2 linked regions of the Arabidopsis thaliana genome follow. The protein of the gene in region 2 interacts with the protein of the main gene of each other region in a pairwise test. Each region holds a gene or a part of one and is shown on either strand. Other genes may lie near its edges. The genes, in order: KINESIN-13A and RIP4.

The links.
Region 1: the proteins of RIP4 (region 2) and KINESIN-13A interact in a two-hybrid assay, tested with the Arabidopsis thaliana proteins (one study listed by BioGRID).

What each region holds. Positions count from the first base shown.
Region 1 is NC_003074.8:5,656,804-5,674,386, forward strand, and holds KINESIN-13A (P-loop containing nucleoside triphosphate hydrolases superfamily protein), read right to left. Parts: upstream 11,149-17,583; 5' UTR 10,765-11,148; intron 10,694-10,764; 5' UTR 10,612-10,693; intron 10,513-10,611; 5' UTR 10,459-10,512; coding exon 10,270-10,458; intron 9,824-10,269; coding exon 9,602-9,823; intron 9,203-9,601; coding exon 9,023-9,202; intron 8,912-9,022; coding exon 8,810-8,911; intron 8,659-8,809; coding exon 8,581-8,658; intron 8,337-8,580; coding exon 8,255-8,336; intron 8,119-8,254; coding exon 7,956-8,118; intron 7,709-7,955; coding exon 7,379-7,708; intron 7,187-7,378; coding exon 6,968-7,186; intron 6,878-6,967; coding exon 6,307-6,877; intron 6,196-6,306; coding exon 6,130-6,195; intron 6,040-6,129; coding exon 5,857-6,039; 3' UTR 5,572-5,856; downstream 1-5,571. Other genes in the region: AT3G16610 (pentatricopeptide (PPR) repeat-containing protein), read right to left, coding at 1-1,532; TOC120 (translocon outer complex protein 120), read right to left, coding at 1,666-4,935; TCTP (translationally controlled tumor protein), read right to left, coding at 12,906-13,023, 13,117-13,403, 13,496-13,569, 13,899-13,926; AT3G16650 (Transducin/WD40 repeat-like superfamily protein), read left to right, coding at 14,330-14,460, 14,573-14,597, 14,944-15,046, 15,312-15,393, 15,551-15,616, 15,839-15,923, 16,059-16,151, 16,336-16,399 and 6 more. UniProt on the Arabidopsis thaliana protein: Internal motor kinesin involved in trichome morphogenesis. Participates in regulating the formation of Golgi-associated vesicles.
Region 2 is NC_003070.9:29,497,372-29,511,700, forward strand, and holds RIP4 (ROP interactive partner 2), read left to right. Parts: upstream 1-11,579; 5' UTR 11,580-11,854; intron 11,855-12,191; 5' UTR 12,192-12,233; coding exon 12,234-12,247; intron 12,248-12,347; coding exon 12,348-13,308; 3' UTR 13,309-13,650; downstream 13,651-14,329. Other genes in the region: AT1G78400 (Pectin lyase-like superfamily protein), read right to left, coding at 910-1,140, 1,216-2,043, 2,156-2,311; AT1G78410 (VQ motif-containing protein), read left to right, coding at 5,357-5,683; AT1G78420 (RING/U-box superfamily protein), read left to right, coding at 7,907-8,098, 8,186-8,237, 8,325-8,370, 8,500-8,581, 8,685-8,829, 8,926-9,019, 9,230-9,296, 9,374-9,901. UniProt on the Arabidopsis thaliana protein: Acts as a scaffold, mediating interaction of ROPs with different proteins.

The sequences.
Region 1 (17,583 bases), on a different chromosome or scaffold from region 2:
ACCTCGTCTGGGTTCACACCTGTTTCCTGCATACTGTTGAACAGAGAAAGAGCTTCTTTGCCAAGACCATGAATTCCGAATCCGAACAGCATTGTGTTCCACGAAACTATATCCCGCTTATGCATTGTGTCGAAAACTCTCTTGGCTACATCAAGTTTTCCACACTTTGTGTACATATCCATCAGTGCATTACAAATGCTTGTGTTAACTGCATAGCCATGAACAACACAATACCCGTGGCAACTAGAACCGTGTCCCAAAGCAGCCAAGTGAGAGCAAGCGGTTAAGACACCAAGCAATGTTGTAATATCAGGACGAATTCCAGATGTTCTCATCTCATGAAATAGACGAAAACTCTCTTCTGGGCGACAGTTCACTACACACCCAGTGATGAGAGAATTATATGAAATAACATCTTTCAAGCCAATCTCACTAAACTGCCTAAAAGCATCACATAAGCTTCCATACTTAGCATAAAATGAAATTATGGTGTTTTGAACAGTTAAGTCTAAGATGAAGCCTGCTTTAACCGCGTAACAATGTACACATCGCCCTCCACTTAGATCTCCAAACCTTGCACAACCCATCAGAATAAGCCCAATGGCAACTGGCGTCACCATTGCCACATTATCATTAACCAACATCTGAAAAAACACTTCTCCAGCTTCCTTTATCATTTCGTTTTCTACGTAGCCTCCAATCATAGCACTCCAGGTTACCTCATTCTTCTTAAAGTCTAAATCGAAAACTCTTCTCGCATAGATAATGCACTTGCTCTTGGCATATACATCCAAGATCCCAGTCTTAACAACTAAATCATTGCTAAAACCCATTCTTGTGCAATACCCATGAACAGCTTTCCCTTCCCTCAATGCACCAGCCCTTCCTAGTGCAGGAAACATCCCAACGATGGTGGATAGATTAGGACTCAGACCATCGATTCTACGCATATCCAAAAACAATCCAATGACATCAGTTAAACAGCAATGTAAAGAAAACCCAGAAATCATAGCATTCCAAGCAACCATATCTCTCTTAGGCATTTCGTCGAACACCTTTATAGCCATCTCAAGTTCCCCACACTTAGCATAGAAATCAACCAGAGCAGTACATACATACATATCAGTTGCAAAGTCGCTACAATTCACATGACTATGTATCAGCTTACCATCGTCAATTGCTCGAAGACCAGCACATGCTTTCAAAACAAACGGGTACGTATATTTCGTGGGTCTAACACCAGAATTCAGCATCTTGTAGTACAAATCCAAAGCTTTTTCCGCGAAATCATTCGAAGCATAGGCTCTGATCATCAAATCCCAAGCAATAGGATTGATCCTTGGATGAGGAATTTCATCGAACACATGGCGTGCAAGTTCCACTTCATTGCATGATGCGTAAAGACGTGTTAAATTGACGAGCACTGTAGAGGAACTTAACGTAAGAGAGCGTTTAAGAAGATGCTGATGAATGACCTGACCTAAGACCAGATTCCTTGAGCGAATACAGGTTTCAAGAAGACTTAGAAACATTGGGATAATGGATTTTAAGTTTCAGACATATGTTACAACCAAACATCAAAGACTTAAAACAAAAGTGAATTCCGACAACTAAAAAAAGAAAAACATGTTTCAAGAAAAAATCAAAACAGTTAAATGTTACTCATCAGTGTCCATATTGCATTTGCTCAGGGGAATAATAAGTAAGAAGCTTCTTGAACAGAGGAACAAGTGCAACCACAGCAAGTTGAAGCTGCTCAGAGCTGTTTACGCGGATGCTTACTTGCCCTGCTCCTCTGTTATTCAGATTAGCACGAGCAATGAGATTAGAGGAACGTCCAATGGGTACTTGAGACTGTATATTCCCTCCGATAGCAAGATCGCCATGCCAATCCATCACAGAGAGTCCAAGAGTTGATAAAAACCGACCAAGCGGATAATCTTTATCTCGAAACTGAGCTTCTAAAGTACCACCATAAGCAACATCTCCACGACTAGTCATTGCTCCACCTGACATAACCATCCTGAACCGTTTATTAGCAATCAACTTATCTTCGACTTTTAGTCCCGCGGAAACTGAATCACCTAAGAGCGTAACAGAGAGACCAGCTGCTGCTTTGTTTTTCCTAAACTTGTTAAATCTTGTTTCACTTCGAATAGTGTACGCTAATTCCTTCCCAGCATTTTGCATGTCAAAACCTAGGGAAGTTGATCTACCTTCTCCATGTTTAACCGAGCTGGCCAATTCTAGCTGCACATGTGCATCCTTCTTGTCCTTTGTCACTTGGCCAGAGAAAGATACTGGTATTTTGTCTTTAACAACAAATAGTCGTTCCGCATTCACACCTTCATAACCAATATCATGATCCCACCCATGAGTTTCCAGCACTGGCCTAACAAGCCATTGATTGGAGGTATCAAGGTACCGGTACCGATGAGTAGGATTGTCAGAGTCAAAAGATGCAGGTAGAGATAAATCTGGCATTGGAACTGGAACAGATGCAGGTTCACTTCTCTCCTCTTCCACATTTTCACTATACCCGTTAGGCATATCTTTAATCTCAGCAGCAAATTTCTTCAACAACTTACGTCTCTTTCTTTCCTCTTTCATCTGTCTCTTCATAAATAGTTTCTCCCGATACTCCATCTCATCGAGATATTCCTTCTTCTGAGATTTGCTAAGCTTAGTCATCTCTGCTTTAGTCAACCGCTTAAAGGGAGGAAGCTCATCATACTCTGATTCTTCCTCAGAATCTGATGATTCGTCTAAATCATCTTCATCGTCTTCATCATCGTACTGTTGCTCAGGAAGCTTAGCTTGTGGTCTTGATTGCAGAAGCGATGAGAGGAGCAATGGTAGTGGCGGAGCCTTGGACCGAGTTGCAAATTGTCCCCCTGGAATATTATCTTGTAATTTCAGAAGAGCATTTGCTTCGGCAAGAATCTTGGATGCAAATGAGAGTAATAACAAATGAGGCTTCCACACTTGGCCATTAGGTAATACTCTCTGGCCTGCCCGATTTGTCCTGCAAGCAGAGTGGTTCTCAACTAAAGAAACAGGGTTCATGAGCCTCATATCTCCCGCTGCTTGGCGAATGGCCTGCTGGATGACATGAGAACGTTGTGTCACAAACATGTCATAGCTAGAAGCAGTACCATTTGGGCCATCTGGTGGAGCCGAAGCGGCATGAGTCAAACCCACAATGGCATTAAACCATATTGATGGTCCAAAAACATCAGTGATGGTGCGTAAGAGAGGCATGTCACCAGAATCTCTGCTTTGCATATCCAACCTATCAAGATATAACACAATGTCAGGCGGACTTTTCTTGATGAATGCCCTAACAGACTTCAGGATCTTCTCATTCTTGTGTTGATCTGACCAGGATGGTAAGAGACCGGGAGTGTCAATTACCCGTACCTTAATTCCCTGAACAAAACCCTCAATATCCTGAACCTTCTTTGTCCCCACCTGGAATGCATCAGTACTAATTTTCAGTTCATCAAAAATAGAATTGATGGTTGCACTTTTACCAACCCCACTTTTACCAAGCACCATAATCGTACAAGAAAAATCAAGGGGATCTTGTGCAGCTGCCTCAAGCTGTTCTGCCATGGCACTGGCACGATCAAAACTAAAGGCACCAACACGGCTTCCGTTTCTGCCCCTCAACTGTTCAGCCAATCCAAGCCTGTACAAAACCTGAGCAACAACAACATTATGTGGAGTTTGCCCTAATCTATGTGAAAGCCTCAAAAATTTGACCCTGATAAACTGGAGCTTCTCACGGGTCTCATCATGCTCATCTGTCTCTGCAGTGGTAGAGTCTTCAGCTTGCTGAGGCTGATTGTGAGACACATTTCCATTGACACGAGGCTGTTGTGTAACGCGTGGTGCAGGTTCCAAAAGTGGAGCAGCACGACCAAGACCTGCTGGGCGAGCAGGTGGTAATGCTGCAGTATCACTTCTAGACTCTGTTGGTGAAACAGAACTTAATACCTCAGATTCTCTTTCCATATGTTGGCTTTCCTTAATCTCTGGACCTATATTTACACTGCTATCTTGCTGCTTTACAATTTCCTTATTAGATTGAATATCATGTCCTCCATTACTGTTTTGACTTTCAGTCTCTCCCTTCTCCTCCGAACTAGATTTTTCCAATGGAGATAAGGTCCCAGCTGCTACTTCAATACTATCATTCAAGGATTTGTCACCTGAAACAATTTTAACACTATTGAACTCAGCACCAGTCTTACCATTTCTTTGTTCTGTTACCATGCCAGCTGATACATCAATTTCTTCCTCCCATTTTTCGTCGTCAATACCATTACTCCCTGTTTCCACGGAACAGGCACTTACTGAGATAACTTCCGCCACCAGTTCTTTATTCTCATCAGGAGAGACTACTCCATTTTCTGAAGAAGAATGTGTATTTCCGTTTTCCAAATTCACATCCTCAGTAGCTAAATTGGAAGTAGCTTTCTCACTGTTCTCAACCACATCCAAGCTTGATGCCATTTTACCATAAGAAATATCTGCATCTGCTACTTCCCCGTGATCATAATCATTCATTTTGAGAGTCACCAAATCAGAATCAGCCTCTTTCGTAGTTATACATTGCTCGTTAACCTCACCATGGCTCTCTCCAATCTCCGAATAATTAACCTTTAAATTTTCTACTCCTCTCTCATTTCTACTTGTTTCTTCCAAATCACACACTTCATCATTGGAAGCTAAAGGAAAATCCTCTTGCAACACATCGGTTTTGAGAGATTCAGGTTTTAGACCCTCCTGCGAACCAATTGCTTCCTCAAAGACCTCTTCTTCATTATCCTTCACTTCATCAGATCCCACCAACTCACTAATTCTACCATCCTCTGCAAGCTTCTTCTCATCCCCATATAACCTGGTTACAATCTCAGCCCCATCTCCCATTTCTAGGATCACCCAAAATCACGAAACACTGCACCAACCAAATTTTGTATCCTCGTTACTTTTAAATCCACAAGACACTAAATTAAATGGGAGTGAAACTAATATTTTCCAAATCGTAGGTATATTTTGCTCATAGGAATTCAGAAAATACAAAGAAGAATCTATTGATATTGAGGAGAAAAAGTGATGGCGAGAATCTAACCTGGTTAGAGAAGGCAAAAGTCTGGAAAGAAAAAAAAACAACTTCATGCGCTTTTTTTGTATTTGTATAAATCGCCTTTTACTCGCCTGCGACAGTGCGACTACGACGGGAAGGAGAAGGAGATAAGCGACTTTCATGGACGGTTTAAATCGGTTTGGGTTTTAACATCGGACGGTGGAAAATGGCTCTTATATTGCAATCGTGAAAAAGGCATGTCACGTGATCAATAGTAAAGTGTGGGCCAAGGCCTTTTTAGTTGGGCTGCATAATCTTGTTGGCCATTTTATCTTTACGACAAGAGAGAATTGCTTTATTTGTTCTTTTGGAGCTATTCAACTGTCTTTTCATTGGTTGTCACTATATAGATGGTATTTGAAGATCTTATTAATTGTTAGAAATTTGATTTTATATATGGCTCACCAAATTTTGAAACATTTTCAGATGATAAATGGTTTTATACTTTTTCAGTTGATTGATAAAAGAGTTTGATTCACATTGACAGTATCCAGCTTTCTGGGAGGATAGAGGAGAAGAGAAAAATAAGAAACACAAAAGGTATAACTTTATAATAAAGATTCAAAAATAAAAGGAAAGAAATGCCCAAATTCACAAACATGAAGGACATTTCTGTCATTCTTTGTCATATATAAGAAGAGATCACCCAACCAACCTTTCACACTTAAACAACACCACACTTTTGGTTTTCCTTCTTCTACCAACTACCGAGGAACTCTCTTACGGCTCAGTATTTCTTGTTCCTTGAGACGGTGTTGGAACCGAGCAAGCCTGGCTTGAAGACTGACTAGCCCTGCTGCTTTCCGGGACAACACAAAGCTCAGTTGCGTCACATAGTTTTCTATCATGCTTCCCGGTTGGTCCACCTCCGCTAGAAGTTTCATTTCCTGATAATGATATAACAGAAAAGAAAATTGAATGATGTGATAACATTCTACAATCGTTTTTTGTGCGCTGCAATGATGTGATTTACATACCTCGCGAACAATCTCCATTGTATCCTCAATTTCTTTTCTGTGCGCTGCAATCAGAGCTTCTTCTTCCTGAAAAAAGTCATGTGATGGTTACGATAAGACATAAACAGAACTACCGTTACTTGCAAATCAAATTCACAGCTTCATCTCATGTTTTAAAGGGATAGGTGAGTACTTTACCTCAAGCAGTGCATCGAGGTTTTCATCAAGCGAAGGGTCGGTTTCATATTGCCTTGAAGCGGTTTCATATTGCCTTGAAGCAGTTTCACTTGCGTTCTGTCTAAAATTTGTCAAGGTAGGGATATCCGACGAACTGACATCTCTTTTAGACCAATTTTGTGGTCTGTCTGGTTTTTCTTCCCGCAACCCTTTCCCACGAGGTGGTGACACTTTCTTTACTTTCTCTTCACGGTCTGAAGTTTCTTGGGGATATGAAGAAATGTTGTTTCTCTGACTAGTGGAGCCAGCAAAAGAACTGTTCGGCTCTGATCTTCCCTTGTCCATTGAGAATGATGGGATTCCACTTTCCTCTCGATAATTTGTAGGCTGTCTGAAGTCAATACCCGACGTACTGCTGTTGCTGTCCTTCTCGACCACCCTCCTCCTGGTTTCTGGTACATTCACTTCCTGTGGAGGCTCAAAGACATCTTCTACATCATTTGGGCCCAACAAAGGATCCTTATTAACCGGAGGCATTGAATTCGCAGTTTGATCTTTCTTGCTATTTCCACTTTTAGATAGACTTTTGACTCTGTTTATTCCATACATAACCAACAGAGGTTAATAGACGATGAAATTGAGAATTTGTTTCACAAGAGGCTATAGTTTGTACAAAACATACCGATCAGCATATCTTAGAGTATTGAGGGTATGTTCACACGATCCTGCATTTGGAGAGATGCAGGAAATCATCACCGTTCTTGAGTTTCCAACAAATGAGTCACGGAGCACTTCCGTTAGTTTGCTTCCACGAAATGGTATATGTAGCTGGTCATTGTCCAGTGCACGTATACATTCCTTAAGAGCCAAGAGACTCTTGTTGATTTCTGCGCCTTCAATCCTAAGAAAAATCCACAATGAAAACAATGAAGCATTTAGATCTGAAGTGTGGTGGTCCTAAAGTAAAAAGGTAGCAGCAAAGTGCCACTTTATCAATGCCCACAAGTCCAACAGAGGCATAAATTTTAATCTACACATTAGTGGTAGGTCAATTCTCAAACTACTCAATCACAGGGGCAAAGAGAATCTTTACCTTGTCTGGCGATCATTGTCTGTGGTGTCTGCACCTCTTTCACTGCCAGCAAGGTCAATGAAAGAAATCTTTCCCACAACTTTCCCAGGCAATTCATTACTATCATTATTCCTCCGTCTAGTGTCTTTTACCTCAACATGCTTTTTTACAACAAGCTGTAGGATGGCATGCGATCTAGAAGATTCCTCATTTGCTCCAGTTGAACCTGTGCTCCTTTCGGCATTTCCTTTCTCGATAAAATCCTTTACAATTTGTACATCTGAAACTTCATATTCTTGCAGGCCAACAATGCAAACTTGCTGTCTACCATCTTCTCGCATGCAAAGTTTCCTACTCGGCAATAACTGAATGATTTAGACAATGGTAAACATGCATTTGCGATAGTAGTAGACAACAATGGAAAGTATTGACACTGATAGGATGAATAAGTGCCAATGTTTACGATATACTGACATCGAAATAACAATTATAAGCTAGTATATGCCTGAACAAAGTATATGCCAAAAGAAAAGGAAAACATAAAACCCCTCAACAAAGACGACATTTATAAGAAATGAGAAAAAGAAAGAACACTAACTTTCTCTCACTGAGAAGATCGAACAGCTTTCCACCATATATCTCAAAATAGCTGAGCCACAATTTAAACCTCTGATTGCTGTATACTGGTTGACGCAACAACCTCATAAGATCTTCAACTGCTCGTATAGGTAATGGTTTCATTGTAAATGTCTTACCACTACCTGAATAAGCAAAACATCATTAGGGCCATGAAAGCATGAAGAAACTATTAATCTATTATCCTCTAAAAACTGGAATCTGTTAGCAAGAGTATAACTATCAGTGTATTTCCCAATGAACATTAATGTCATTGCATACCTGTTTGGCCATATGCAAAGCATGTAGCTTTAGTTCTCTGGAAAATAATGGGAATTATTGGCTCAATTGTGGCCCGATACACCTATTCAAGGAAACAAACAAACATGTTCAAAGCAGCATAAAGCTTCTGTATATATAAAAAGCTTAATGTATCCATACATCAATCCAATCTGGATTGGGGGAAACCACATGCTATGATCTAGTTAATAGGTCAATCAGGTATGTCGACCTTGACATAAATCATAAATCTACCAAAGCTCAAGGTTGCATCACGGACACCTAATAGGATTTTCTATGGTTTCCAATAAGCTCAATTCTTAACTTACCTCGTCATTTGAAACATCCTCATCTAGAACAGCATCAAAGCAGAACTCATGCTTTTCCACATAAGCAGTCAAATCAACCTGCACCAACAAGATTACGGTTCATTCAATATTCGAAAAGACAATATTAAATGAAAAGAATATATGACCTTTAATAGCAGGATGCCATCGTTCAGTTGTTCAACTGAATCATGTTTGCCATTGTTATCTATGATGAAGAATGCACACAAACCTTCACTCTGGGCTCATGGACAGTCAAAGAATTATCAGATACCGTCACGACATCCTCCTCCTTTTTAGCTGTTTCTTTCTTGTTTAGGGGTCTTTTCCTTACCTATAGACAAAAAAAAAAGTGGTTTCCCAATCATCCCTAGTCATAATGAACGTTGCTTATAAAACAATCAAGTAGTAAGGAAACATGTCAGTTCTCAAGTGAATGACCTACCACTACTTTAATCTTGGCTACACTGTTATTTTCTTTATCACTTTTAGGCAATAAACCCAAAGGTTCAGCTTCTGTCTGTTGCCGCTGTTGACGATTAGCTGCCAAATTATAGTCTTCTTCAAATTCTTTATTTACACTAGGCATGAAAGGTGACGGCTCAAAGGGTTCGGTAATCACATGCTGCAAAATGAAAGGAAAGTCACGTATCATAAAAGTTGGTAACTTTCACATGGATAATCGCTTTCTTTATGAACTAGCAAATGCAACAAGCAGTTATTTAGCTCAGATGCTTTTCTAATGACAACAAGACCAAAACTGTCACATCTCGCTAAATCCATTCGAGTGTCAAGATCAGAAGTTGCCTACAGAAGTCTCGCAGATAGATTACATGTGCACAAAGCCAATGGATTAGGTGGGACTCAATATGGCAATGTAAGATTGGCAAGAACAGTTTGAAAACTGGGATGTAACACAAGAACAGACAATCTGATGATGAAAATTTATGATCTTTCTGTTATCCATGGGCACTAATGAGTAACTATGAATAAGTCTTTGCACTAGTTCTTCTTCCAAGCATACCTCAGATAGAAGCTCTGTATCATCCATTGCATGAAGATCCAATAATCCTGCTCCAAAATCACCTCTGAACTCAGGTGAAAAAAATCCTTCCGAAGAGGGCATAGCTGCTGATGTGTGAGCAGTTGGTGTATATGATTCAGAAGTCGACTCCCCATTAAAATTGAGATTTCTCATTAGTTGGAACAGTCTTTGTTTCTCTTCAGCAGTCTGAGCTCCATAACCCTAGCAGATACCGCAAACACCACAAAGGATGCTTCAAATATCAGAACCCGTTCATGCGAATTATACAAGAGCCAAGGCAAAAGTTTCTATAGAAATTTACCAATCGAAGAAGAAATCACTAACAACCCTGCAGCAAACATCTAACTTAATCACATTACATAAATGGCCAAACAAATTCCAAGCTCTCCTTGAGATACGTTATGACTAATATCCATAACAGGGAGAAACAATCCTACATTCCTAATTTCCTACTGCAGCGTTTTTAGTAGTCTAACACCAAATGTGCGCAGGAATTAGCGACCGAAAACTCTAACAAAACTTGGCTATCTGCGTCTAATACAAAATTTGCATACTTTACCAAGCTAGGGCAAACTCCATCAAGAAAACTAAAGGGCATGCAAAATATTGGAAGAGTACAGAAACAAAGAATCAGGGAAAGCAATTACCTGCATGAGAAGGTTTGGGAGGTGACGCTGATCATTGCCTGTAGAAGCAACAGGAGACGCCAAATGCTGCAAACCAGCGGATTGAAGCCACCGTGCCATGACTGCATCTCCTGCGTCATTAGTGGGTAAAGCCCCATCGTAAAGCGCCGTCGCAGCCGCAGCATTGTTTTGCTGCATTTGGCCGCCCATGAGGCGCTGTGATCTTCTTTGAGGAGCCAACTTCGGAGATCTGTAAAAACAACTCTTCATCCATACAAAAACCAGAATCACCCATTTGTTACAAATCAAAAAATTCCTAATTTCAACAATAGAATGTTAGATTCAAATCGAAGAGAAACTCACAATGTGGAGAGAATTCGGATTCAACACAGAACATGAAAGCGGAAATGTACAGCTCCCGACTTTGCTTCACCTCCTTCAAAATCTGAAATTCAATCAATAAATTGCATCCAATAATCGGAGAAGAAGATCGATGTTATCCAAAGTAATGATTACCAGAAGGAAACGAAGACACGCAACGGTGTTAGATAAGAGATCTGAGATCTGAGATTTTCACAATATACAATCAGATCCGACGAGTGAAGAACCCTAATTTACGCACATCGAATAGCGTTAGAGATAGAGAGATAGAGAGATAGAGAGAGAGAGCTTCTGTTCAAAATTTTCGTCTTCTTCCGTAAGCGACGTTAGGCGCAGAGAGATGAGAAAGAGAGGGGCGTTGAAGAAGATTTGACAAAGTATAAGACACTTACACAATAAATTAAAAAGTTTGAGGTGTTTAAAAGTTTTTTAAAAAAGTGACAGTTAGATCACCCTTTAACTTCAGAAATATTCACCGATTTGTCCTACTTTTTAAGATTGTACAGTCTAGTCCAAAACATTTGAAACAATCTTCTTTGAACGGTCTTATATATTCTAAAAGATAGTGTTGAAATATTATTTTTTTGCTGAGATCGTGACACAAGGACATATACCAACATGGTGACATAAAAATAGAATTGATGTTCTCATCTTGAATCATACGGTATGAATCTCATACCTTTTTGAGCAGATTGCATAAACATTGATTGGTTTATTATATATGTAGTATAACTAATAATATAACCTTGGTGGGTTGATCAGTTATGTGCATTTTCAGATTTTAGCTACTTTATGGTATTTAAGGATGTTGTTTTGGACCATCTATGGTAATAGAGATGAAATTTGAAATTGTCCGAGGAAGATGACATGAGTTTTTCTCGACATGAAATCCACAACTTTTGGAATTTTAGTACATGACAATGATCTAATCTTATATATTCTTATGTTTGTTTAAATTTTTATACGGTTTCAAATTTTGAATTGTTTAGATGTGCGAATATAAGTGAGTGTATATCAAAAGTACCAATCTTGTGTATGTATGTGTACTGTTTAAACCCCAAAAAAAAGTGTTAATCCAATAAAATATACGAACGAGAATATGCAAAAGTAGCGAAGTGGGGCTAATACAGCTTGTGGGTTCCTTTCTTTTGAATCAAAAAGCTTTTGCTTTAGCCTAAAGCATTCCGATCTAAAGGATTCCTGATTTTAAGTAATCACTATATAAACCAGTATGAAAGGAGCTTTTCCTTTATTTATCCTTCCTAAAAACATTGGTCTCTCTAGTTTTGTGTAAGTTTAGATGATCTACCTCCTTTGTATGGCTACGTCAATATAGTCATATAGATAGAAGTTGATACTACTTGTTACATAAGAAATGTTTAAATAGTGTAGGCTAAAAGCCTAAAACGAAAGGAACAACAAAGTTTGAAGAAATAATGACGATAAATACATAAGATACAAGAGAGTTGGAGCAACGTCAAACCGACCAAGACCAAATCACGTTTCCTTTTACGTGAGACACAAATACGTACCAACGCATTTTGGTTGCCCTCTCATCCATACGGACACCACACATACATAAATAAATAGTTCGAATAATAAAACCAACAAACTAAAAGAATAGTAAAGCATAGGATAGGTTGTGTTGTTTGTCAAAGTAAAAGAATACACATAATACATTATTATTACGGCCACATTGTGATTTGTCTCACAACTAAAACCAAGATGACAGAACTCTAGTTAGTATCGATTCCGCACGTGAGATAGAAATCCTTGATAAGGAGCAGAACATGCCTATGATGATGTCTCAAGACATCATGTCTGTACGAAACTTTTTCTTTTTAAAGGGATAAAACACCATTAGACTAAAGTCAAAAGAATCATTCTACAGCATATTCCATGATTTAAAGTTACTAACAGTTAGAGTAACCCACTCGTTTATTCACGTCCATAAGATCTGAATCCAAAATTATTAGACATCTACTATAAACATGCCTCGAGATTCGGGAGTTTAATTTAGAAAAGCAAAGCTGAAGAGATATCACACCAAATAACACAAAAAGTAACGACCAAAATTCAACTAATTGTAAATGATAAACCGTTTTTTGCGGAATAAATAACTTGAGAATCTTCCAACACAGAAAACAAGAAGAGAGAAAAGTAAACTGGCAGGTAATTTTAATAGGGGACGACGACGAAACACAGGACAATATAAAGAAACATAAACTTAGAGAGTCGCTGCGACCGACCACAGTAACCCAACGAGAGCTTCTCTCTCAGCACTTGACCTCCTTCAAACCATGAGCGAAGTACAAAAATGTTGGGTTAGTTGAACCCTCCTTGTAGTAAGCAAAGACCAAAGTGCTGTCATCATGCATACCCTCCCCAACAAAGCTGTAAAATCAGACAACACAAGCATTGATGAGATTTCAGATGAAATATATGTCATGTATAACAAGCAAGATACGATAGATTGGGGTAACTTACAATTGGAAGTCACTGAGCCTGGGGAGCAAAAACTTGGTAGCTCCCTCAATACCCTTCTTGAAGACAGCTTGATCTTCTTCGCTGAGCTTGGGTGTCAAAAGCTTAATGTATTTCTTAATGTAAGCGATGAATCCCTTCTTGTCATAAGTTGGTTGCTCCTGAAGTCTGAAGGTGTCGACAATGTCAACAACCTTTTGAGTAGAGTCATCAACACCTTCATCCTCACCACCTTCTTCAGCAGATGGATTGGCACCAATGTTAACATCTACAGCTCCCACAGTAACCCACTGGATAACAAAATCAAAACCCAATTCAGAACAGGAAAACAAAAATTTAACAAAATCAAAACAAAACTTGAAGTAGAATCGATGACACTGACCTTTCCTTCTACTTCCCAGAGGATTCCATTCTCAATCTCCTTGTAAGGGAAAGAGTCAGACAGAAGCTCATCACCTGTAAATCAATAGCCCAGACTCTTTAGTCATTACTCATAAGATCCCAAACATTAATCGATACAAGCGAATAAACCCTAAAATCCAATCTACAACGAATCGGTAAGCTCAATTAAAGGACGTTTATATACTAATGAATCACAGATCTAACCAAATCACATAAACTAATCCCCTAAGATTTGAATTATCAATGCAAAGAGCAGCAAATCAACGAAAAACCTATGATGCGATGACAGATCTAACAATTCGATAACATGATTTATTCCGATCGGAAGAAAAAGATCGATAGCTACACAGTTCATACCGAGATTAAGGAATTATTGAGCTTACCGGTGAGAAGATCTTGGTACACCAACATGGTCGCTTATTGATTGTTTTCTCTCTCCGATGGATGCGAATAAACGAAAATCGAAGGTTGCGGGAGAGAGACGCAGCGACGAGGGGATTCTGAAGTGAGGTCCTAAGTTTGGTATTTATAGTCGAAACTATAGCGTAGGGTTTTCAGGTAAATTTACAATTCTCGGTAAATTACAATTTTGGGCTTTAACTGTTTCCAATTTTCTATTTTTTACCCTTTCCTTTTTTTTAAATAAAGGAAATAAATCTGAACCGACGCTTAATGAGCCGGGTTTGGTCCAACGGGTGGGGATTCGAGTGTTGGGCTACGTATAAATAGTGTTCGGGTCGGATAAAATCCTATTTCCCTCTCTTCTCTTCCGTCTTTCTCGTTCTGTTTCTGATTGTTCGTGTAAAACCCTAGAATGACGATGATAGCTTTGAACAGGGAGGTCGAAACTCAGTCACTGAAAAAACTCAGTCTAAAATCTGTTAGACGAGCTCGTGAAATTTTCTCCCCCGTCCATGGCCAATTTCCTCAGCCTGATCCTGAAAGGTTAATCAACAGTTTCGCTTGCAATGTCCACTTTTTTTTCTCGAAATTTCTCAGAATTTTTATGTGTATTGACGATTTCTTCTTCTTGTCTGTTTTTGTTCTTGTCTCGCAGCAAAAGAATTCGGCTCTGCCATAAGGTAAGGGGGTTTTCGAATATTTTTTAAATTTTATCTTTGATCGTGTTGAAAATTTTGTTCGCTTCTTCTTTGTTTTGAGTTTGATAATGGATAGCTTTATAGCAAGCTTCAGAGACGTTGAACCTGAGAAAATTTTATAAGGTGTAAATCGAACAGTCAATGGCTTATCACTTTTATAGTTTACCTTTTATCTGGAGTTAGATTCTTCTCATCAGCTACTATTGTTTGAGTTTGCTTTCTAGCATATTACCCTCATCTTTATAGTAAGATGTTTAGTTTGCATCAAGCGTTTTAGTGAACATCAAGTAGAATATAAAAGTTAATGACTTGGACGTTACTTGTATAGATTCAAGTTGCATTTGGAGGCGTAGAACCTGCAAGTAAGCCTACACGTATTGCTGACCATAACAGTGAAAAGACGGCTCCATTGAAAGCCCTTGCGCTTCCAGGTAGTTCTTTTATCTGTTTTTCCTGTTGTGAGACAAAACTAGTTTCCTATTTTCTAGTTTCCCTGATATCTATTTATATTAGTTGTGAGTTTCATTCATATATGTCTATAATTAGGATTGGAAAACAAGTTTCAGTAATGTATCCTCTTAAGAGTATCTTTTCAAACAAACTTCTGCTGCACTAAAAACGCTGTTAGTGTAATCTTTTAGCCTTTTTCATGACTATTGTTTCTCGTTCTGAAAGACCAAATTATTTTCTCCGCAGGTCCAAAAGGGTCCAAGGAACTTCGAAAAAGCGCAACAGAGAAAGCTTTAGTTGTTGGTCCAACTTTACCGCCAAGAGACTTGTGAGTATACATTTTCATTTGGAATGTGACTAGTCCATATAGTTAGTATAAATAATTTACGACATTCTCAAGAATGTTATTCCTGTTTTGTCTTTGTGATTGATGCTCTACTTATCGTGCTGATTGATACTGATAATTATTGATTCTTGAATTGAAGGAACAATACTGGTAATCCAGGCAAAAGCACGGCCATTCTTCCTGCACCTGGATCATTTTCCGAAAGGTTTGTGTCGCATCCTTATCTACTTTTATGGACTCTCTATAACGACACTACATCTAGATTGCGATACCTAGGTGGTACATAAAGCCGCACTAAGGTGAATTGGTGGTTCAGAGTCATGAAATTTAAATTTGGCCATATTTATTTAACCTGAAATGCATCTAACTTGTATCAATGCTTCAGTTATTCATTATTTGTCCATCATTTCCCCTCTATGTGTTACAGAAATCTGTCAACTGCTGCTTTAATGGAGAGAATGCCTAGTAGATGGCCCCGTCCAGAGTGGCATGCACCATGGAAGAATTACAGGGTAAGATCTGTGTTACTGTAATATTTCTGCATCTTATGGATATAACATTTAAGTGTGTAGGTATTCTTAGGCCATTTGTTGGCGTCCAGAGAGTACTTTATGTTCTTATGAATTGATGCATTTTTTGGTTGACAGGTGCTCCAGGGACACTTGGGTTGGGTCAGATCTGTTGCGTTTGACCCAAGCAATGAATGGTTTTGCACTGGTTCAGCTGATCGTACCATCAAGGTAACGGATCAACTCTATTGAAAATCTAATTCAATGCCTTTTTTCCCATTCTTCTGTAACCTTTTCTGGATTCTATAATATGAATTGTCATTTGCTAGGTCCCGTTTTTTAGTTCTTCATGCAACATTTACCTATATCTCATGAATTAATCTTACTGATTGCTTCTGTGGCTCTTGTTCACTAGATATGGGATGTAGCGACTGGAGTTCTGAAACTCACACTTACTGGACATATAGGGCAAGTACGAGGTTAGACTACTATTTTTTTCCCCCTCAATTTGTTAGTTTATCAATAGCTCTTGTAGAAAAGTACCAGTGTAAAAGTTTCAACTCTCTAAGTTTATATAATTATTGTTTCACAGGCCTCGCTGTAAGCAATAGACATACCTATATGTTTTCTGCTGGTGATGACAAGCAAGTCAAATGCTGGGACCTTGAGCAGAATAAGGTTTAAACTCGATGATGGATTTCATCTCATCTGTATATTAATTACTCTTCTCCTGATCTGAACTTTTCATGTCCAATGTCTTTGGAATTTGTCTTTGATAGGTTATTCGATCTTATCATGGTCATTTGCATGGCGTTTACTGTTTAGCTCTTCATCCTACTCTTGATGTTGTACTAACCGGAGGGCGAGACTCTGTCTGCAGGGTATGACATTTACTGAAAAGATGTATCCTGTGGTTATAAACATATGTATTTTTGATGTTTGAGTTCTCTAACTGTTGTCAAAAATTCTTTTCTACTTATAGGTATGGGATATCCGTACGAAGATGCAAATTTTTGTACTCCCACATGACAGCGATGTTTTTTCCGTTTTGGCCCGCCCAACTGTACGCCTCATTTCATCTTCTTTTTACTTAATGTGCTTGTGGCGAAGAAGCACACACTGCTATTTTATGCTCATATAGTCGTATGCTTTTATTTCAATAACTTTGGAACTTACTGTGTCTGTGATGTTGCAGGATCCACAAGTTATTACAGGGTCTCATGACTCAACCATCAAATTTTGGGACCTCCGATATGGTATAGTTAACATTTAACAATCTCTTGGACTTTTGCTTTTCTTCCTCCCTAGCTTTTCATTGTATGCAGGATTGGGCTAACAAATATACTATAAACAGGCAAATCGATGGCAACCATAACGAATCATAAGAAGACTGTCCGAGCAATGGCTCTCCATCCGAAAGAGTAATTGTCTTGCTTTTTCAACCTTAGAGTTTTGCATGATAATGCACCCTGATTTAATGTCTCTTTCTGTTTCGTTCAGGAATGATTTTGTTTCTGCATCAGCTGACAACATCAAGAAGTTTAGCCTTCCTAAGGGAGAGTTTTGCCACAACATGCTGTAAGTTCTAGAGTCCTTGTAGTTATTTGAGTCTTAATCCACTCTCTTACATCTTCCAGTGCAATGAAAAAGATAATGTTTCTTA
Region 2 (14,329 bases):
TACATATCCACGTAAGTATTTCGTAGATATACATTTTGTCCTCATATTACTTTAAATACATGTAGAACAAGAAAATCAAAATGCAAGAATGTATAGAAAGTGCCAAAGTGGTGGGTGAAACCACTGGAAATCGAATATGTGGTTCATACATTACGTGATACGTACACGTTACACGTTAATTAAGTTATAGCAAAGTAAAGATAACGGAGCTAGTTGGTAATTAGTCGTGTAAAAGGTTAAACAACTTCTTTATCAAAAAAAGAAAATAAATCAATTAAATAGCTTATATTCTTTGCTGAAAAGGATTTAATGGGCTACTTATATTATATTTTGGTTCATTCAAAATGCGTAAGATATGCGAAGAGTAATTTTGAATGAACCAAAATATAGTTAGGAAAATACCCAATTAGTTGTAGATGCAATGGGCTACTTATATTGGGCCATAGTGGGCTTATACTAGGCCACAAAATGAATACTAATTCACAATTATGACTACCGTGTGCCACTTAAATTAAAGACGCGAACTGTAAAATAATCCTACGCGCACCTAGAGCGCGTCAACGACACGAATACAAAACGGCTGGACTCGTCCAGAGATTTCGTCGTTTTTCAGCAAAATTAAAACAAAAGGCGAGTGGAGATATCAACTTTTACAATCCGCTGAAACGTTTATGTTTTATGACTTGGCCCAAACTTCTTCTACTCGAGAGAATATAGCTGGAAATTATAACAGTTACTATCAAAGAAATTGATAAGATTTATTGTTCTCTTTCAAATCTTCACTTCCCTTTAGAAGGGTTCAAACATGAACAAACTAAACGAGTGATCAGAGAATATCAGGAATTACAAATATAATAAAAGCTACGAAAAAACTAATCAGGATCATATAATAAAAACTCAAAATGTGGATCACCGGATGCAAGACGGAGGAGAAATCTTGCCACCTATCCAACCGCCAACATTCTCACACACAGAGGTTGCTGGACCGTCTCTCCCACGGTGCACTATGTTAATGTTGAAGAGCTGAACGTTTTTGCAAGGAACATTCTTGCTACATTGCAACTTCACTGCCTCCTTGGCCGTCGACGTTCCCCAAATGTTTTGGAACTTCACGTCTCTTATCTGAATCTTTGAAAAAGACTACAATAAAAAGAAGAAAATCAAATTAGGTCATGTCAAAAAGACTAAAACCTTGTTTCTTGTTAAGGAAGTTACCTGAAAGCTGCACGGTGGATTTGGACAGTATCGTTGATCTATGTTGATTGGGCTTTGGACATCAATCATCTGGAGATTCTTGAAAAGAAAATTCGAAACTAAGTTCGGTTCACCCGGCGAAGGCCATGTCTTGATTCGTACTCCATTACTCGTACCATTAAAGATTGAATTCCTAACAATTAATCCCTGAACGCTCTTCTCACCTTTAAACTTCCCAAGACTTCCAACGCTGATTCCATGGCCCGGTCCACAGTTGACTTTGTTGATATCCAAATTGAAGGTTCCCGACAAGATAGCGATGCAGTCGTCGCCAGTTGCTATGTCAACGTGGTGGATCTTCATGTGGTTTGATGAACCTATCTTGATTCCATCAGTGTTAGGGCTATCTCCGGGAGCCTTAATGTTGACGCGTGTGATATCAAAGTGTTGGACTGAGAAGAAGTTGAGGTGGCCCATTTTGCTATTGATCGATTTGATGCGCGTGAGTCTCGAGAATCTCACGAACTGGAACCCCATGTTCATCGGTAGAGCCCGGCAATTATGGGTTTGGCGGCAATTGTTGAGTGGCCAAGAGTAGCTTCCTTGTCCGTCAAGGATGCCGCCGCCTGAAACCGTGAGATAGTCAACGTACCTAAAAATAATCCAGCTGTCTTGTTTGATGGCGTTAGGATCTTTTGGAGCTAACAAAGTTCCTTTGATGATGAAACTAATCCGACTTTTACATGGTCCCGTGAAGGCTACAGCACCGAGGTAGAAGGTTCCAAATGGTATATACACTCTAGGTAATCCTTTCCATTGGCAAGCGTCTTTCCACGCCTTTGTAAATGCCTAAAACGCCAAATCAAGACAATAAGTCAAACATGTGTTAGAATTAATCAACAAATTCAGAACATTAATGTTGAATAAGTTGGATCAAAAACAAAACTAGAAATTTCACTACCATAGTATTGTCTGTTTTGCCGTCACCACGAGCACCATAGCTTCGAACATCGAAGACTTTTCTTCCGACGAGAGCGGCTGAAGGGGCGGCTGAAATGCTACTAGCGACGGCAGCTATGAACAAAATTAAGCTAAAACCGGAGATAGTGGACACCATTTCTTTGTTTTTGATAATTGACAATGTACAAAAAAAAAGTAGTTATGATTGAGAGAATGATAGTATCGTATTGTGTTCCATCGTATTATATACCAGTGCGATCTCTAGACACTTCTATAAGAAACCTACATCAGTGGCTGAAATTTTGGGTTGAAATTTAATGGTTTCGTCAATCATACAGATTGATTTATTTCTGAATTAATGTGTTTCTATAAGAGTACCAATTGATTTGTTTCTGACTGCTGATATGATTCTAAATTATAACGGTATATTTTAAAAATTCCTTAAATATGAGCAGAATAATAGTATATAAGGTAAACTGTTCCAATCTTGTCGAACAATTTGTGGATCAAAATTATCAATAAATTGCTTCTGTACGGATCGATCAGTGTTTTCGCAGTAATTTAGGTTTCGAATTACAACAACCAAATTGGATCGGTTACCAAAAACAAGTTGTACATACCATAGATAGCATGGAAAATATCACACCCGTATTAAATATTTGAATTAAAACCACTAAAAAGTTGTTTATAAGTGTATAGTTGTGTTAGGGCTTGGATAATTTATGTGGGCAATTTGGGTCTGAATAACTTTTTAGATTAGCCCATGTAGCATAACACCCACCCAACAGAACACGCCACCAAACACCCATATTTTATTTGGGAAATATGGGCTTCACTTTTGTAACAAACCCAATAACTTGTGCTACATGGGCTGGGCTAATCTCAAGACACAACTCTACACGATGTAACAAGCTAAACTCATAGTTTCGAATCTGATTGGAATTTAATTTTGTAAAGTAAAATATTACGGATTGTTTAAAAAAAAGAAATTGATCTTCGGTGAATTTTTATCTGCTATAAAAACAGAACAATAGTTAATTACTTACTTATATTCATTCAAAGTTAAATTCCAAAATGCTGAAACTCAAATGGACATAACTTACCCCAGTCGAAATAGTTAACTATATATTACCGGCGGTAAAAGCTGAGATAAAATAACTAATCTGTTCAAACTTTGTATATACTTAATTTCAAAGGCGATCAAATAAAAAACAGTCAGGTTCCTGAGTCAAGATTTGTAGTCAAAACCTTACTCTGATCCGTTATAGCCAAACTTGACTTTCCCTTTGTATGTTCATCAGTCTATTAATATTGATATCAAAACTGTACGTACAATAACGTACTGCACCAAATTTTATCAACAAACAAAAAATAGACTATACATAATTACGTATCAACTTCTAAAAGTTGTAGTGTAGTGATAAATGATAACGGATTGATTTGTATTTACCTTAAGGCTTAAACTGATCCATATATAATTTTATTCTTCATATGAAAATTTTGGTAAAGCCAATATAATTTTTGTGTGGTTGGTAACAACTGAAAATAATTAGGGCTATCGCAAAAGTACAACCGTACAATGAACTAATTTGCAATTTCTGAGAAGAATTTTGTTAGTGAAAGTCTGAGTCAACAAAACAAAAATTCAGGGAATTGAATGAATGATTGGGTCCCTTTATGAAACTCCCCATGAAACATCGTATGTAACTATCAGTGACTTCTTGTGCATCATGCTGAACTTCTAATCTCTTTTTTTTTTTTTTTTTTCTAATCTCTTTTAAATAGTAAAATCTACAAAAATATGATCCATTACTCATTTATATCAATATTTAAAATAAAATAAAATCTATATATCAATATAATTCAAGATGCAAACATTTAAAATTTACCTTACAATGATGTGAGTATATGTTACCTCCTATTTTTTATGTTTTAAACCGTATAAAATTTTCATATGCTGTTGGCTGTGGAAAAAGGGAAAACATGGTTATTAACTAAAAGCCCCATTTGGGATGTTTTGATTAGAAATTTTTATCTTGAAAAAATAAACTAAAGCCATTAGTGTTTTCTTTGTCGATGGAAAAAAAAGACATCACCTTTTGAAGAAAAAAATGACATCACCTTACTATTTTCTAGAAGCATAATCAAAGACGATTATATTTTGTCATAACGAAATAGTGTGGGGGGACGTGCAAAATTCTACTCACGTGTAAATACTTGGTAAGTTTTCAGTAGTTTTTTCTTAGGCTGTTTCACGTGATGTAACAGGATTTCATCAAAGAAGGCGTGCTTTGACCCAATCTAATGAAAATACACTATGATTTTTGGTAATTTTAATACTTTTGATGGTGATAGTGATATATAAATTTTAATGTTTGGTCCTTCAAGGCTGCTAGATTTTATTAACGGTCAACATGTCTTAATGATCAAAGGTCCTATCTATGCACAAAGCCATGTGCTTTTCGATTGATCTCAGTAAATGTTGAATGATTGTTGCTTTGTATAACAAATAGTTACCTTGTTTAATATTCTCAACAATAGGTTATAAAAATAATTATATGTAGTTAATCTTTGATTTTAAATAATTACTATTAAGTTATTTTCTTGCAGTTTCAAAATTGTTTTAAGTTTACCGTTGCTGTTAAATTCTAAAGAATATACAGAATGCAGTAATTGTTTCATCAACAGATGTATAAAAAGTCTTTAATTAGTCAAAAAAATTCTTCATTCATAAAATTCATTGGTAAGCATTTCTAGACTAGAGCCGTAAATATTTTCGGCCAATATAATAATTAGGAAAATATTTATTAGGAATTCAACGAATATGATAAAAAACGTTGGTCGTCGAAAATGTATCATGACGTCAGGAAGAAAAAAAACAAGAAAAAAATAGGTCGTCACATATGTTTTCATGTAGGACAAGATTACGATTATAAAATCGTTTCAAAAAGAATACGAAAAAATTTACTTGAATGAGTCACTTCAGTACCCCACAGAGATTATATCTTTCTCTCTTTAATCTCTCTATAAATACCTAAGTATGCAACTATGCATATAAATCTACAAAACATCTGAACACCCAAAGACACAGGAAGAGAGCTAAAGCTGATATATACTAAGTACTAAGATCATTTGATCAACCTAATCATCAACACCACAAAATTTTCTTTTCTTGTTTCTCTAATCGATTAATTTAGTAATAATGTCTGGAAGAGGGAAAGTGAAATCGGAGCCGATGAAGGTTGTGTTCATTAACACACAGTATGTTGAGACAGATGCTCGTAGCTTCAAGACCGTTGTTCAAGAACTCACCGGTAAGAACGCCATCGTCGCCGCCGGTCCTTTTGATTCGCCCTCTGCTTTCGACGGCCGTTGTTACGATGGCGGTAGTAAAATCGGTGAAGATACCAGACAGCTCCACGGCGGTGGCGGCGGAGGAGGACGAATGGGGACGACGACGGAGTTCGATAGATTATTCAAAGAGATGCCTCACATGGAAGAATTGTATAAACTATGGTCAGAATATTGAGTCATTAATAATTTCTGTGCAATGATTTTTAAATCATTCGTTTTCTTCCAAAATCTTTTCTTTTTTATCTAATGAGATAATGTTGTTGTTGATTTGATTTAATCATCTTAACTGGATCGTCACTCTTGAGATTAGGTCCAATAACGAATGTTGTGTTTTGGAAAGTAATTATGAGTTACCTTTCAGTACGGCCCATGTCTCCGAATTTTAAACGGGCTTATTATAGCTTTCATATGTTGTTTAAAAGGACCATGAAGCCCAAGTATATGCGAGATTAATACTTGGTTCTCTTATTTTCTGTGTATTTGGGTTTTAGAACCAATTATCAAAACAAGAAGTGTGAGTGTGTGACAAAGGCATTGAAAGCGACTAGCAGATTAAGAAGTCAGGCCTCAACTATGGGCTTTTCTCTATGGGGCGTCTTTGCTACCCAAGTCCAACTAGGTATTACTTTTTTTTCCATATTTTTTATATATTTATATTTCATGTTTTTCTTTTCTTGCAAAATAATGTTTTTAACTAAAAGAATTTTGATTTCACTAAAATTAGTAATTTCACTAAAAACTGTTTAATTCTTGTGACTATTTCACAATTTTTAGAATCCAACATGCGATACAGTTCACAACAACCAAATGAAGCATTATATGAACTAATCTTCTTGTGTTTATATATAAAACAGGTTTTTGTGTAAGTGCGTAAATGGCTGAGGCAAATAGCAACAAAACTCATGGTTAACCTTCTCTAACCAACCTTAACCAATTTTGTGTTGGGTGAACCATTTCCTTTCATCAACCCAAAACACACTCACGATTTTAATCGTCTCATCTACAATTCTTGTTTTATTTAACGTTCTTTCTTAATCTAGCTTTCTGGTAGTTATTTTCAGGGTTTTTTCTGGTATATAGTTGGGTTGATTCAACGATTATCCGAAACATTATACGTCAACATACAATACAAGTCTATTAAAAATTATTAGCTAATAGAAGTAGAACCTACTAAGCTATATTGTCGTCAACAAGAACCATTTTTAAATTCAATTAAATATAACATTAACGCCGACTAATCTAGTTTATGAAATATCACCAAAACTTTGAACACATAATGAGTCTCGTAACACACCAAAGATACTAACTTCTTTATTTTTTTCCATTAATAAATTTGATGGTAAATTACGAATATTGGACTATACAATTATGCAAATGCGACAAACAAAGATACAATTAAAGAATAAAATGTTAAAAAAGACATTATTCTGATCCAACTCGGTGCTTAAGACAAAACCGCCTTCACAAGATTTCGTATATTCTAATCCTTTTTTGGTCAACAAACAAAAAAAAACATAAATAAACGTAACGACGTCGTTTTACACGAAAATGAAAAACACACGCGAAGAAAGAAGCGCGTGGAGAGGAAGAAAGAAGCAAAGAGTTGGATTCTTTGGCTCGTCTCTTACTCCATCGTTTCCTGTTCCCTTTTAGCTTCTCCACATCATCACCATCTCTCTCTCTCTCTCTCTCTCTCTCTCTCTCTTCTGAGATTTTTCCGTCGAAATATTAAAAAGAAATTTGCAGATACAGAACTTGTTCTAATCTCTCTCTGTTTTTTTTCCCTATGAATTTTATATAATACGAAAGAGACACACAACACTGTATTATCTTTGCTTCTCTCTTCTCTCTCTTTCTATCTCTACAGAGTAAAGTTCTGATCGTGTCTCTTATCGTTTACCCAAAAACCCTTGTTTGATCTCTCGTCTCTTGTTTTCTTCTGCCCTCGAAGTTTTCAGGTTTCTTTCTTCTCCGATTTATCCTTCTTTTTCCGTACTTTTTTATCAGAACTTGTAGGGTTTCTTCTGTTTCAATTCGTGGAATATTTTGCAACTTCGATACGTAAATTACGTAATTAGGGTTTGATAATGTTTTATGTAACCAGCCCCGAATTGAATTAGTTCCAAAGTTAGGGTTTTTCTCTCTCAAATTAGGGTTTTGCCCCAATTGTGTTCTTATATTGAATTTACCATTTGCGCAGGTTATGTGGTGGAGGTTGTTTCCAATTTAAAGTATGTACCTTTAGGTTAGAAATTAGGCTTATTTGTTTCTCCAGTGGGTTTCATTGTAGAAACAAATTGAATTTTAGGTGTTAATGTGAGATTAGGAAACAGAATCTCTGCTTTTAACAAGGTAATAGGAGAATAGGGTTTAGTAGAAGAAAGGTTAAAACTTTGTGATGGGTAATAAGTTGGGAAGGAAGAGGCAAGTGGTGGAAGAAAGGTATACAAAGCCTCAAGGTTTGTATGTGAATAAAGATGTCGACGTTAAAAAGCTCAGAAAACTGATTGTGGAGTCTAAGCTTGCTCCTTGCTATCCTGGAGACGATGAAAGCTGTCATGATCTTGAAGAATGTCCAATTTGTTTTCTGGTTTGTGAATTTCTCTCAGTCTCTGTAACTACTACATTCTTGTCATGTAAGATCTAACTTTGTGATATTTGCTTCTTGTGTTTCTAGTACTATCCTAGCCTCAATAGATCAAGATGTTGCATGAAAAGCATTTGTACAGGTAACACATTCAATAACACTTTAGCTTCTTTGTTCTATTCATGTTTCCATTTCATTTGACATGGCATTCTTTGTTCATTTGTTGCAGAGTGTTTTTTGCAAATGAAGAATCCTAATTCAGCTCGGCCTACTCAGTATCCTTCATTTTAAATCCTTTGCATAAGCTTTTAGGGGCTTCTTTAACATTTGGCTTAATGTTTGAGAAAATTTCTTATTAATTTGATGGGTTTTTTCCCTTTTGTGTCCTCCTTGACATTTATGAGGTGCCCTTTTTGTAAAACTCCCAACTATGCTGTCGAGTATCGTGGAGTCAAGTCAAAGGAGGAAAAGGGCATTGAACAAGTTGTAAGTCTTAAAATTTCCACACAACATAACTTTTTTCTAGATAAGCTTTGATGAAATGGTGCTTTACTCAAGTGGTATATTCTGTCACTGTATCTTTTTGCAGGAAGAGCAACGGGTAATAGAAGCCAAAATAAGGATGAGGCAGAAAGAAATGCAGGATGATGAAGAGAAAATGCAGAAACGTCTTGAATCATGTTCCTCTAGCACAAGCGCAATGACTGGCGAGATGGAATATGGTTCAACTTCAGGTCGGTTTATTTTTACTGCAAGAACGTGTTAAATCTTCCATCAGGAACAAACAAAGGCGGTTTTGACAGGCTTCCTTTTTGTCCCTTGGTTTGCAGCCATATCTTATAACTCCCTCATGGATGACGGGGAAATTGCTCCATCGCAGAACGCATCTGTTGTTAGACAACATTCCCGCCCGCGAGGAAACAGGTCTGTCTTTCCATTGGCTGCTCTGTTTTTTTTTTTTGTCAACTTCATATATGGAGTAATGTAGTAGTTGTAACCATGAAATTTCTGAATTACAATGACACCGTGATTAGACTTTTTTTGTTTTGTTTTTTGGAGCTAAGTGATATGAACACAGATTCACTTAGAAATGAAGAGTGATTCATATATTTGATTTGTCTATAAACTCTTCAGGGAGGATGAGGTTGACGTTGACCTTGAGGAATTGATGGTCATGGAAGCAATATGGCTCTCTGTTCAGGTAAAATTATTTGTTTGTATAACTTTTGATATTAAATTTTTCAGTTCTCTCATAGCTTTTTAAACTGATTCTAACAGGAAACAGGGACGCAGAGAAATTCAGCTTCAGGGGAAATTACCTCTTCTAGGCAGTATGTAACAGATAATCATAGTTATGTTTCTTCACCACCACGAGTGACTCCAATCGTAGAACCAGCAACACCGTCTTCATCATCTGGTGGGCTTTCTTGTGCAATCTCCGCACTTGCTGAACGCCAAATGGTTGGCGAATCCTCCAGTCACAATCATAATCACAATGTCAACGTTTCTTCATACAGTATGCTTCCCGGAAATTGTGACAGTTACTACGACATAGAACAAGAGGTAGATGGCATAGACAACCATCATCATCATCGTCATCATTACGAGATGGGAGAAACAGGAAGCAGCAACAGCTATGTAAGTTCTTACATGACAGGCGAGGGCTTCCACAACTTTCCTCCTCCTCCACCTCTGGTCATTGTTCCAGAGAGTTTTGAGGAACAGATGATGATGGCTATGGCTGTGTCTATGGCAGAGGTTCATGCCACGACGACATGTGCACCAACTGAAGTTACCTGGCAATAAATAGGATAATAATGGAAACTCATGGGTCTGAATCTGATGATGATTATAACTTCATTCATATATGTCTGTTCCTATAGGAAGAAAGAAAAGAAACGAAATGATTTCCAGTTTTAATAGAAAAAGGTTGGGTTGTGTTACAGCTTCTTTAATTCTTTGTGGTTCTTCTTTTTCAATCTGCATTGACAAAAAATTTGAAGATCACTTGTTTTGTGTCTCTTTGATTGCAAATTTCTAAATGGAGAAGAGAAGGTCAAAGTTGGTGATTGTTGACCAAAGCAGTAATTAGGGGTTTAGGGTTCTAGAGTCGGCTTTTGTCAACATATATGTCTTCTAGAGTCTTTGTATGGGTTCGTTATAAGATGGAAATTATAAAAGATAATTAATGGATTATGATTTATGACTAGCAGCTAACTAATTTTCAACATTTAATATCTTGATTTGAGCAGCTAATGTTTGTGTTAGTGTGTCTTATGGGGTTTCTTACTTTCTTCTATGAATTTATGTTCGAAAAAGAGAATAATGGACCTCTAATTTCACAACTCCCAAAACTCAGTATCTTGATTTTTTTTGTTCTTTTGGGTACTGATTGATATGTAGTACTCTTATTAGTTACTTGAATTATCAACAACATCATCATAAAAAGAACCAAAAGTTAAAGGTAGATGCTACTTACAATCAAAAATCATAGTGGCGCTGAATTTTACTTACAATTTGCTCTGTACTATTTTCAATTGTCAACTTTTACTTTATACTACAAAAATGTAGTGAGTGATTAATGTTATGTAAAAAACATAAATAGATAGTTGGCACATAAAAGTGAAATAAAAATAATTAGTAGTGATTGATATTTCATCTTGAACACAGATTGTTACGGGGTTTTGTTTTTCAACATTGTGTATGGGTTTCTTTAATATAAAGCTTGAATGTTGTACATTATATCCATTTTCATATAGTAGTGTTATGATATTTACCATTAGGAATCCCAAATTTGAAGTACAATGAAACATTGAAACCTAAAATAATAGATATAAAAATGGGTATATTCATACATTAAGCTTAACATATATCAATATATTGGTTTACGGTTTTATAAAGTAAAAAAAATAAAAAGAGAACGATTGGAATATAAAAAGAAGAAGAGAAACTAAAAGAAAAGAGTTTGAACTTTGTTGAAACCGACAAAAAGAAAGAAACAATGTCAGACCGATTGATAAGGGTACCCACACATGCGTGTAATAAATTATTTATCTCTTAAACCATTTTTTGTCTTTATAAATAGAAGTAACATGATTTGATTCAAAATTTTATATTTAGCTCGTATGTTAGGTTTAGGGTTCTTAACTTCTTGTGTAATTGCCTTGTTTCCCATTTTTTGGCTGTCGTTTACGCCAAATTTTGTACTACATTTTGTGAAATTCAGTAGAAATCCGTTAGAATTTTTTTTAAAAAAACCTCCAATGAACGAAGGAATTGGTACAATTTGGCAACTTTTATAATCAAATCATGCAAAGATACGGAATCTTAATGTAGTAAAAGATAATTAAAAACAAAACATTATGATTACATGTAAATGTGGGACATCACCCTCCAAGACATGTAAATTACACTTTTGTCCTTTATCTTCCCCCAAAGGTCATTCACTTTCACCAGCTTTATTTCAAATCTTCCAACGTCTACTTTTTCAATATCTCTCTGCTTCTTGAATTGAGAGTCTCTCTCTCTGGACATAAAGCTACGACCTCTCTTTTCTCCACATTTTGGGTTTTCTTGTCTTCGTGTTCTTGTTTCTATCAACAAAATTAATCACACCAGCAGCATATTCAAAAACAATTTCCTCTTTGTCCTTCTTTATTATTTCTCTGCTTGCATTACTTGTTAAGACTATATCGCAATCATTCTTCGTATTCAATTCCACAGGTGAAACCCCAGAAAGTACTCTACATTATCCTCAAGGTTAGTTTCTACAATTAGACCAACCCATTTACTTATGTGTGTATGCAAGATAAGAAACTTTTCCTCAAGAGAAATCTGATTCAAGTCTTGGTGAAAGATTGAAGTTTGTTATCTTAGATCTTCTAAAGCGTTTGGTGAAAGATTGAAGTTTGTTATCTTAGATCTTCTAAAGCGTTTTTGAGTAAAAGCAAAAGCAATGTGTTGTTATATCTCACTTGTGTCTGGTTTGACTCCAATAGTGGAATCTGTTTAAGAGTTTCTCACTCTCACTTAGTGGCGCGTGGCTTACCAGTTCATATATCTGCTTTATTCTGAGGAATGTTTTCGTTTTCATCAGATCATTAACCTTTGGAGAGTCAGCAACTTTGCATAAATCAGAATGCCAAAACCAAGGTTAGGGTTTTACTTCAATTCTTGATGAAAAATGTGATTTAGATTTTTCTTGTTGTTAGTCTCTATGATCTGATATGTGTCTTCTTTGATCTGTGAGTAGTATTAGAGGTTCAGAGTTGCCTCAGAGGCAATCTCCTAGGCTAAGGACATCACTGTTGTCCACTTCCTCTGATCCGCATCACCTCAGCCGTCCGATTACAGACCGGAGTCCAAAGCTCGGCCTTGACCGTAGATCTCCAAGGAGTGGTGGGCCTCATACAGATCCGCTGAGTCAGAAGAAGCTTGGAAGTCGCATCTCTGGCTTGGAGTCACAGCTAGGACAAGCCCAAGAAGAGTTGAGATTGCTCAAACAGCAGTTGGCTAAAGCCGAGGCTGCCAAGAAACGTGCTCAAGAAGAGCTTCATAGGAAGAAATCCAAGAAACCGAACACTCCTGCTCCGGAGAGAGATGACATTCCTGGAGATGGACATCAAGAGACAGATGTGTTCGAGGTTCTTGATGAGAAAGCAAAAGAAAGTGAGAAGACGAAGAATGATGAATTGGCTTCTAAGGAAGACCAAATCAATGTATTGAAAGCTAGATTATATGACTTGGAGAAAGAAAGGGTATCACTTAGCGAGGAGAATGAGACCTTGAAGGATCAGTTGAAGAAGACGGATACGGAAATGTCCTGCGCAAAGGCGAAAGAGGATGAGATAGCTTCAAAGGTGAGTCAGATTGGGGAAGAATTGGAAGAAAGCAATGAGACCACAGCGAAGCTAAAGAAGAAGCTCGAATCCGTGGAAGAAGCAAAAGAGACTCTAGAAGCTGAGATGAAGAAGCTGAAGGTCCAAACAGAGCAGTGGAGGAAAGCAGCAGATGCTGCAGCTGCGGTTTTATCTGGAGGGGTTGAGATGAATGGTCGGTTCTCAGAGCAGTGTGGGTCAATGGAGAAGCATTTTGCAGGCAGGTTTGTCGGATCACCGGGAATGGCTGATGATTCGGATGACGGGTCTGGGAAGAGGAAAAGTTCTGGGAAGAAGATGTTCGGTGACTTATGGAAGAAGAAAGGGCAGAAATGAAGTGATATAATAAATAAAAAGTAGCGTGTATTTCAAGAAAGCAGTGTGCTCTTTAACTTCGGATGATCTAAGTGTGTGTGTCGACGAAATGATGGCTCATCATTTCCATAGATTCTTAGTAATGAAACATTTAGACAATGATTGTGTGCTGCTTCACAGAAGCTAATTTATCAAATTCCTATTCAACTGCAAAATCTGCTCACTTGTCTGTAATTTATTTCATTGATCAGTTACATCTTCTTTATGAGGATTGAATTAGGTGTCATTGTTAACGTAATTGCCATTGGAACCGGTTTAGGATTCTGAACAAGTTGGGACTTGGGACTTACCATACTCTTCCGGTTCGATATCTCCCAAGAGTGTAAGACTAGTATGAAGATTATTTTCTTTGAACTTCGACAAATTCAAGATTTTAAAACTTTCTAAGAATATAAAAACATTTGTCGACACTCGGCAAAAATAAGAATTATATGAAGTTTTGGTGTCGTTATAAACTTTTATATATCAACGTTATGAACATATACAAGTTGGTCCATGGGATGATGTGGTATCATATGGCAAATATATACAATGACAAGTCGTTTTCCCTTTAAAGATTGGCGGAATTTCTAAGTATATGACGAATCATTTAAATATATGTCTATATCACTAAACATATTGGTGCCCAAAAGAAATTCTCGGACCACATTCGACGTGTAATATTGAGATTTTCGGTTGTAATGTCTTTGTCGATATCTTTAATGTTGTTATAAAGTTATAAGAAAAAACTGTTACAAGATTTGATCCAACAATATACTATCATGTGTACAAGGTATTTATCCACGCACCGTGTAGGACATATTTATTTTGAAATAATTTATATAACACAATAAGATGTACACATAAAGTAAAATGTAGCTTACATCAAAACAGTGTGTTTAAACAACTTGATATTATCCATAAAAGATGGGAGCGATGTTGATATTACGAAACAAACAAACACACTCTTGCATGTTTTTACAGTTATTGGATTAACAAATAA